Nothobranchius furzeri: one gene and its partner. The protein of the gene in region 1 interacts with the protein of each later gene in a biochemical or structural test. Links are inferred from orthologs where the notes say so. Each region holds a gene or a part of one and is shown in the gene's direction. Other genes may lie near its edges.

Region 1 (4,191 bases):
ACAAAAACCTGAAATGATGCATAAGTGTCCCAGTTTGATACCTGCTGTGCCATCTGTAGTTAGGATCTGACTAAACATCTTGTTTTTTTAGCTTGATGCCAGCAGAGTTGACCTTTTCGAGCTTTAAACTGATTGAGAAGCTGATGTGAAAACTAGTTAACCCGAGTTTTACTTTCTTTTCATTAATTCATAAACTTTAATAGACTGTCTCTGTCTTTATTCTGGTCCTTTGTGCTTGGATTCTCATTAGCTTCAGCTCTCCAGCCAACCTGCAGCAAAGGCTGCTGGGATTCATGCGTCCCGACGGAGCCGGCTCCCAGCAGGTGCAGCAGGAGCTTCAGAGGAAATACCACAGTGAGTTTTGAACTGGAATTTCATCATTTTCCTCTTCAGTTTTTTTTTAAATTAAAGTTTGCAAACAAGTATAGATTTGTATTCAACTCATTGCTTTGATTGTTAAAAAAATGTTGTTTTCATTCGTTTTTTCACTAGCCAAAGCTCAGGTCTATGAGAAAGTGTCGCTGCAGGGCATCCAGCAGCTAGTGCACCGCTCTTATCAAACTCTGGCACTCTGGAAGCTTCTCTGCGATCATCAGTTCAGCCTCATTATGTCTGAGCTGCCAAAGGTGGGCAGAAGCGCTTTAGCATAGCAAACAGGCGCTGCTCTGATGCTCTCTACTTATTCTACCCTTTTTTTGTAGGAATTTCAGGAGCAGATAAAGGGGGCAAGTTTTAAGGACGTAGTGATCCGAGGGAAGGAATTATCTGGGGCACTCATCACAGGCCTTATTAACGTTTACATCAAAGATAACGCCTCTGTGGACGCCATCAGCAATCACCTACGGGACATCTGTCCACTGCTGTACAGCAGCGATGACAGCATCTGCTCAAAGGTACACACACACACACACACCTTTGTTGATTTTCACCAACACAAGCCACCTTTAAGACTTTCACATTTTAACTGATATATTTTTCACATGTTTGTTTATTTCTTTTAGTTCCCTAACCCTCCAGATCATTTTAGGTGCAACAAGGTCCTGCCCGGACATGATATCGATCAGCTCACATAGATTTTTGTGTCTCGGTAAACTGAATTTGATTTCCTCCCCCTCTTAGGCTAATGAGATGTTGCAGAGCTCTAAACAGATCCAGAACAAGATCGATAAAGAGAGAACTTTAAGGGAGTCTTTACAGCTCTACCAGCAGATCAGCCAGAACATAGACCTGCCACTGGTTTGCTCCCAGTACAGACAAGGTGGGTGGGGGCACAAAACACGCTGCGACTGTCTGTGCTGCTGCCACATCGTCTAATGGTATTTCATTTCTCAGTGCGTTTCTACGAGGGAGTTCTTGAGTTGTGCCTCACAGCGGCAGATAAAAAGGATCCCCAGAGACTCGGGCCCCACTTCTACAAGAACGGAGAGCCTGAGGAGGACAAAACGGGGCAGCAGGCCTTCCAAGAGAGGTGACGCCATCAAAAGGCGGCACTAATGTCCAAATTGTCTGCTGTTTTTCTTCAACGGTTTTCTTCTGTTTTTTTTTCTTCAGACTTTCTTGCTACAAGTGCATCACAGACACCATGCAGGAGCTGGTGAACCAGAGCAAAGCTGCCCCTCAATCTCCCAGTGTCCCCAAGCAGCCTGGACCTCCTGTCATGACCTCTGATCCCAACATGCTCAGCAACGAAGAAGCTACAGCCCATGTGAGTGTTGAAGAAAAGACAAGAGGGTAGTTCTTGCTAATTTCTGTACACAATCTGAATTTGTAATGTGACTTTGTGGTTCCCCTACAGTTTGAGCAGATGCTCGGTTTGGCCCAGAGGTCTCAGGATGAACTGTTTCACATCGCTCTGTACAACTGGCTGATTCAAGCCGACCTCTCCGACAAGCTGCTCGAGGTACTTTTAGGTTTCCTCCTTTTAGGCATGAATTCAGCTTCTTTTAGGGGCTTAAAGGAACCTTTATTGACATGTTATAACCTCTACATGGACAATGTATTTTTAATTGACAAAGATCAATTAATCAACCAGTCATCTTTATTTTTGGAGCCCTTTTCAACAAACTGTCCACAGATTGACTGCTGTACGGCTGTATACTGTTAATCACAGTAAAACATTTAAAGGCATTCTATGCCAGTTTTTCATATTTTTTAATTATTTTCTTGAGCCAGTTTGTGCTAAAATGATCCTTTGAAGGGTTACTCAGATCCCACCATCCTCTGTGGCCAGAATACTACACTTGCAATTTCAGAGTGACTGTCTGCTCCCAGTTACGACCAGAACACACCGAAGCGCCGCCAAGTGGATAGCTCACGAAATTTGCGCACTGTCCGTTCCTTCTCTGTTCACATCAGGCGAGAATTTTTGATGAGCACTACTGCTCACGCCTACTGTTTTTCAAACCCCCACTCCACCCCTGTGCCCTTGGTGCGTGCGTGTGCGTGTGTGTGTGTGTGTGTGTGTGTGTGTGTGTGTGTGTTACCAGTTTGCCTAGTTTGTTGATATCAGAAACTGCGCTGATCCTTCTGCTGTTTTGTAGACCAGTTCCATTCTAAAGGGTTAAGTAAATAACTAGTGTTTGCGGTATTGTATAATACTATTGTACATTTACCTTTGAATGAAAGATATTTGTTTGTAATCACATTAATTAATTCCATCTTTAGCTGTAAAAACTGCATTTAAAATTGTGGAAACGCTATGTTGCTTCAGTTTTGTGTGTGTTGATTTTCGTTTCTCTAGTCTGTTTAGATACACAGAAATGATCACATTTATCAATCTATTTTGTTAATTTACCGGCCTGCCTCTTCTGTTTTGGTTTGACTTCCTGCCAGAATAAAAAATTAGAGCTCACGCCGAAACAATTGCTGCACGGCGCGAGCCTTCGTGGTGCTTTGCAGCTGATGTGACCGAAAGTGCAGGTTAACAAGGGCGTAGATTAGATGCGCTCGTCGTTCCGCTGCGCGTCATTGCGCCTCTGCGTCTGGTGTGTTCTGGGCGTTAGTCTTAGTAAAGTGGAGCTAACACGCTGGTGCTGCAGTCTGCTTCCAGCACATTACCTGCATGTTTTAGATCATGAACAAAGCTGATTTGTTTAATTTAGTGATGAATCACTCCTATAGACATGATGGAAGACTGGGGAGACATTTCAGCTGTTGGATTAAGGTGTTAAAAAGACAAACGCACAGCGAGGACATGAGTGCTCAGTTTTCTTTTAAACCAAACAGTTAAGCAATGTTAAAATAACTTTAAAAGAGTAAACATAGCAAAGTATGCTTCATTAAAAGAATAAACATTAAAAGAAAATTTAAAATAATCTTTGAACAGTTCAAACTAAAGCTGGCACATTTCAGTGTTCAAAACTGTTTATTTATTCATTTAAAATAAAAAACGTGCATCTAGAGGCGAGTTTTAAAGGCTTGGAACTCTCATTTAATCAATACATTTGCAGTGGTCTCTAGTTGGAATGGATGCCTTGTAACTTGTACTCTGGGGAGAAAAAGACCTGGTGCTCTTGTTTCAGAAACAAGCAGTGAGCCAGATCAGAGTTGAGCGTCAGGATTTGGGGTCTTATTTCCTGACTTTTGGACACACATGTCACCTCTGATTGGATAACAGCAGCATGACTCTGTTTTCTCTGCAACATTGATGTTTTATCTCCACAAATAACACAAGCCTGGAGTTCTGCCGTGTGGTGGAGTTGCTAATGCTAAAGATTAGCTTATTTTAGTTGAAACATTCTCTACTGTTTCCTGGACGCTAAACCAACAGCAGCCTTCCCCTTCGTGAGTCAAAATGGGTGAGTCGATGAATGCGAAGTGACAGTGTGATGTAGATCTGTCAGGCTTTTCAAATCCTAGCGTTTCACCGTCTATTTTCTATCAGAAACCAAAGTTGGAGATAGATGTAGGAGACAATTTTCATGTGTAGCCTGCATGAAAAGCTCAGTGACCGATTATATTCAAAAATAGTCATTAAAAAATAGTTTTTCAGTGAACCACACATTTAATGTTCTTTATGTCCGCTCTGGTTTGATGATAAACGGGTAAAATTCGTAAACATGTAGCACTTCAGATAGCTGTTAAACTTCACTTATACTTGCGTGTCTGGTGCCCATAAATGATGTCATTAAAATAAAATTTGGATTCTTTCCTCTCTATTTGTTTGTCATCCTAACGTCTACTGATTTCTCT
Region 2 (4,191 bases), on another chromosome or scaffold:
TCAATGTGGAAAAATGTTACTTATGCAAACAAAACGATGAATCGACCAAACATCTATTCTTTGAATGTGATAAAATTCTAATCATGTGGAATTCACTCGAGGATTGGCTGAACTCCAATCAAATTTATATAAACAATTTCACAGTTGAAGATATCTTATTTGGCATTATACTAAAAGATAAAAAGAATGAATTTCTAATTAATAATCTCATAATCTTAACAAAATTTTTCATACACAAATGCCGATATCTCAAAAATCCACCTACGTGGAATAATCTCAAAAATGAAATTAAACTGCTGTTGAGATCCTTAGGTAAAATGTCCACCCCCAATGCTATAAAGCTTTATGATTTCATTATGAACACTAATCTCTAACTGCTTTTTGGATGGTATACACAATAGACCTTGTTTGCTCTTTAACTTCCCCCTTGTAAAACTTTATTTATATACATATAATTTGTTTTTTCATGTTGTCTTACTTGTATCCTTTCATGTTCTATTTTTGTTTTTTTTGTGGTTGTTATTTTTGTTTATTGTCTTCTTACTATACCAAGTTGAATTGTATCCACAAAATGCAAGTTGAGATGAACACGAACTTCGGAGCTACTCTGTAATGTCATTCTGCTAACAAATTTTGAAATGTAGTCGCTTTTGTTCGTTTTGCAAAGGTTCAATAAAAGTTCTTAAAAAAAGATACCTCATGTTAAACAGTTTGGACTGTTTATTGAATTGTCCTACAATAATTTCAGTCTAAAAAAGTAGGTAATATCGTTTGACTGAAGATATCGTATTGTCTCCCTTGTATCGTATCACTAGAATTTCACCAGCACACATCCCCACCTGCTAGTTGTCTGGAAACCTGGGAGGATAACCAAAGTCTTAGATTATTTTATTTTGCCATTTTAAAGAACTGTAAAGATGCATTTGACGGGTTAAAAAATGACATTCACTGCTTTGATTATTTGTAAATAAGTCCAGTTGTCTTAAGAACCAGCAATTTAAATATTCTAAATAGTCTGACACAGATGACCTTTCAAGGCTATGCTTTTAGTGACCGACTGTCCTGTTTGTCCCGTGTCCTCCCTGCTTAGATGGCGCTCAGGTTGCGACAGGAGGAGCAGGAGAAGCTGGTGGAGGCTGCTGCCAACGCTGAGTCAGAGCAGCTAAAACGCTTTGAGGAGCTCATGGAGCTGAAGCAGAGGCAGGAGTTCCAGAGTATGAGGGACATGATGGACCGAGAGTGAGCACAGAGCAGCGTGGTGGCCAACACCTCTAGTTTTATGTTTCTGAGTGTTGTACGTGTGACCCAAACGGTCTGGCTTTCTGGAACTCTCTCCTCCAGTGGACTCAGTGGTCTCCTTTAACAAGCAGCTGAAAACTCACCTGTTCAGGCTTTGGTGTGACCTTTGTCACCACCCTCTCCTTATTCTGCTCTTTCTACCTATTCCTGGGATCCACTGATTTCCCTCTTTCCTGTTCGTTTTCTCTCTCCCTTTCCTTCCATTCTTTAATCACAATATTTTTTCTCATTTTAAAGAGCAAGTCACCCCCTACCAGAGTATTGCTCCGCTCCCACTTCATGTTTGAAAAATGCAACAAATGCTGTTGTCTGGGAGACTGAGAGGGCGGAGCCACTAACAAAAACACACACACACACAACATTGTGACATCATATGGTACCAGCTAACGTTCTAGGATACCTCTTAGCCAATAGCGATGGCAGATTTAGATTCAAATGCAGTGCAGAGTTTTTACCTGACAACGGCACAACACTGACAGTTTTAGGCAGAACATTTAAATTTGAACTAAAATGCACTAAAGTGCAAAACTATTGACTACACGTGTCTGCAGCATGATTAGACATGCATTTATATAGTTTATCAGGGAAAAAAAGTTGATTTGGGGGTGACTTGCTCTTTAAATATACCGTAAATCCTCTAATGCAGGCCCGGGCCTGTATTTGACTCAAGCTCATCAAGCTCCAGGCCTTTATTGGAAGGAGGGCCAGTATTAGAGGCATGCCTCAATTTCTATTTGAGCAAAATGAGCTAAAGGTTCGCTGGAGTTTTTGACAATTAATATTGCGCCCACATTTTCAAAGTTAAACACATTTCTTTTAACAACGGTAGTTTCTGCTTCAGCCATCTCCCCCCTGCGCAAACTCACTGATGCGCCTGCAGCCTCTCAGAGTTCCTGCTGCTCTAAACATTAAAATAATTATTTCATTTTCTGTTCCTCACTTCTGATTACCTTCAATGGTGTCTGTTTGTTGCAACCACCAGGTACAAAAACTAACTTGTTTTTATTTGACTATTTTTTTGTCCTGTTTATTATCTTCCTGCATCTCCTCTCAATCCTAAAGAAAAACTGCTACCTGGGTTCATATATATTCACCTCATGAGTTACCTTTGAACTGCAGTTCTAAAAGATCTACCGACCGCAAAAACAGCAGAGTGCTCGCTGCTTGCCGGCCGCATCAGTGATCGGTGCGTCACCGGAGGACAAAACAGGTGATGCGCCCCGATCCACAGCAGCGAAAGGCATCAGGCACAAATAAAAGAAAAAAAGACAGAAAACATAAAAGGAAATGAGCCGACATGAACGATCGCGTGTTAAATTAGTTTTTGAGGTGGCGACGCCTGACTTGATAATGTTACTGTGGCCGTGCTCAGGACGCAGATATCTGGAGCACGTCAACAATCAGAGCTTTGCATGCGCAGGCTGGTTAAGGTTAGGATGGGGGTGAGGGGAAGGTTAAATTGCAAGAGGGTAAAGGTCACAATTTGGTTAAATGTCCGTTTTACGGCGGGTGTCGGTACCGACGCTCTGGCACAGCGCGTTGCCTCCCGACGCGCAGGAGCTTGTCACCTGCTGACAGCAGGCTGCTGTCTTTTCCGTGGACTGCATCTTGCCGGTCATTATCACGTGACAGCGACTAGTCGATGACAGGCATAAAAAGTCACTATAGAGCGGTGAAGTAGACTAGTGACTAGTTCATACAACCCCTGCTACTGCTCCCCGGAGTGTTCTGCAGCATAATCAGCACGTTCTCTTTGAACTTGATATCAAATTTTCGCCTGCTCTTCGTCTCCGCACGGTTAAAGTTACCCTCGCGGTCTATCACTGGCAAATCAAAAGTGAGACGGATGACACAACCGCCCCCCGTACTTGCTTGTTACCACATTCCACCCGGCCACAATAAAAAACCGGCCATTATTCACCTCCGCCGACTCCGACACCGGCCAAAATATGATACCCGGCAGTTAATTAAATACAGGCTAATATTAGAGGATTTACGGTATTCGTAATCTTTTTTTTTTGGTGTGTTTGTGAAGCGCCTCGTGATTTTTATCTTGAGAGGCATTATATAAAAGATAGTTTTCTTTCTTCCTTTTCAGAATCAAAGAGATCATGGGCCGTCAAGAGAAACTGAAGGAGGAGCAGAGGCACAGAACGAGGGTAGGATGAACTGTGTAGAAAGCACACATTTAGTAGATTCTGTCTAAAGCTGAGAAAACAGAATAATACAAGAACAAAGGGAGAAAAGCAGAAAGGCACGTTTAGACCTCTGCAGAATGATCCAACTCTGACGTCAAGTTCTTTGTGTCGGTGTGCGTTAGTATTTATTCACTTGTTCTCTGTGAAAGAATAAAATCCAATAGACGACATTTTCTTTGCTCTTCAGCTCATGAACCTACGTTTAAGGGAGGCAGAGCTTGAGAAGCAGAGGCAGACGGAGGGCAGGGAGCGACTGCGTAACCTCAACAACATCCAGGAGGAGATCCTGCAGCTCAACCAGCTGCTGGAGCCGTCCTCCCAGACCGACTCTGCGCTCTCAGCCAGCAGCCTTGGCTCCTACAGCGCCCGCGGGAACCATCTGTGCTCCCAGGTTTCAGAGGTCGCGAGGAAGACGGCCGAGGTAGCCCCTGACTGTTCAAGCCCTTCGTCCTGCAGACATTTATAGCATAACAGCAGCTTTTCTCCTATAGAATCTCCTTCAGATGCATTTGATTACAATAAAATACATGAACATACACACAGCCCCTCTAAAGTTGTAGTATTTTAACCTTTTTCTGCTTTTCTCTCTGCAGGGGGAGTTCCCCAGCATGGAGGACATGACCGTGGCAGAGCGAACCCTCCTGGATATGAGAGCCCTGATCAGGCAGATGCAGCAGGAGCTGGTCCGAGCTCA

Evidence for each region. The genes of interacting proteins can lie anywhere in the genome.
Region 2: the proteins of nup155 (region 1) and gle1 form a complex in vitro, tested with the Homo sapiens proteins (2 studies listed by BioGRID). The link is inferred for Nothobranchius furzeri from reciprocal best matches to the Homo sapiens genes NUP155 and GLE1.

What each region holds. Positions count from the first base shown.
Region 1 is NC_091746.1:53,447,937-53,452,127, reverse strand, and holds part of nup155 (nuclear pore complex protein Nup155), read left to right. Parts: intron 1-250; coding exon 251-354; intron 355-492; coding exon 493-626; intron 627-701; coding exon 702-893; intron 894-1,119; coding exon 1,120-1,258; intron 1,259-1,332; coding exon 1,333-1,468; intron 1,469-1,551; coding exon 1,552-1,705; intron 1,706-1,795; coding exon 1,796-1,900; intron 1,901-4,191.
Region 2 is NC_091750.1:38,705,491-38,709,681, reverse strand, and holds part of gle1 (mRNA export factor GLE1), read left to right. Parts: intron 1-1,090; coding exon 1,091-1,239; intron 1,240-3,397; coding exon 3,398-3,458; intron 3,459-3,684; coding exon 3,685-3,918; intron 3,919-4,090; coding exon 4,091-4,191. UniProt on the Homo sapiens protein: Required for the export of mRNAs containing poly(A) tails from the nucleus into the cytoplasm. May be involved in the terminal step of the mRNA transport through the nuclear pore complex (NPC).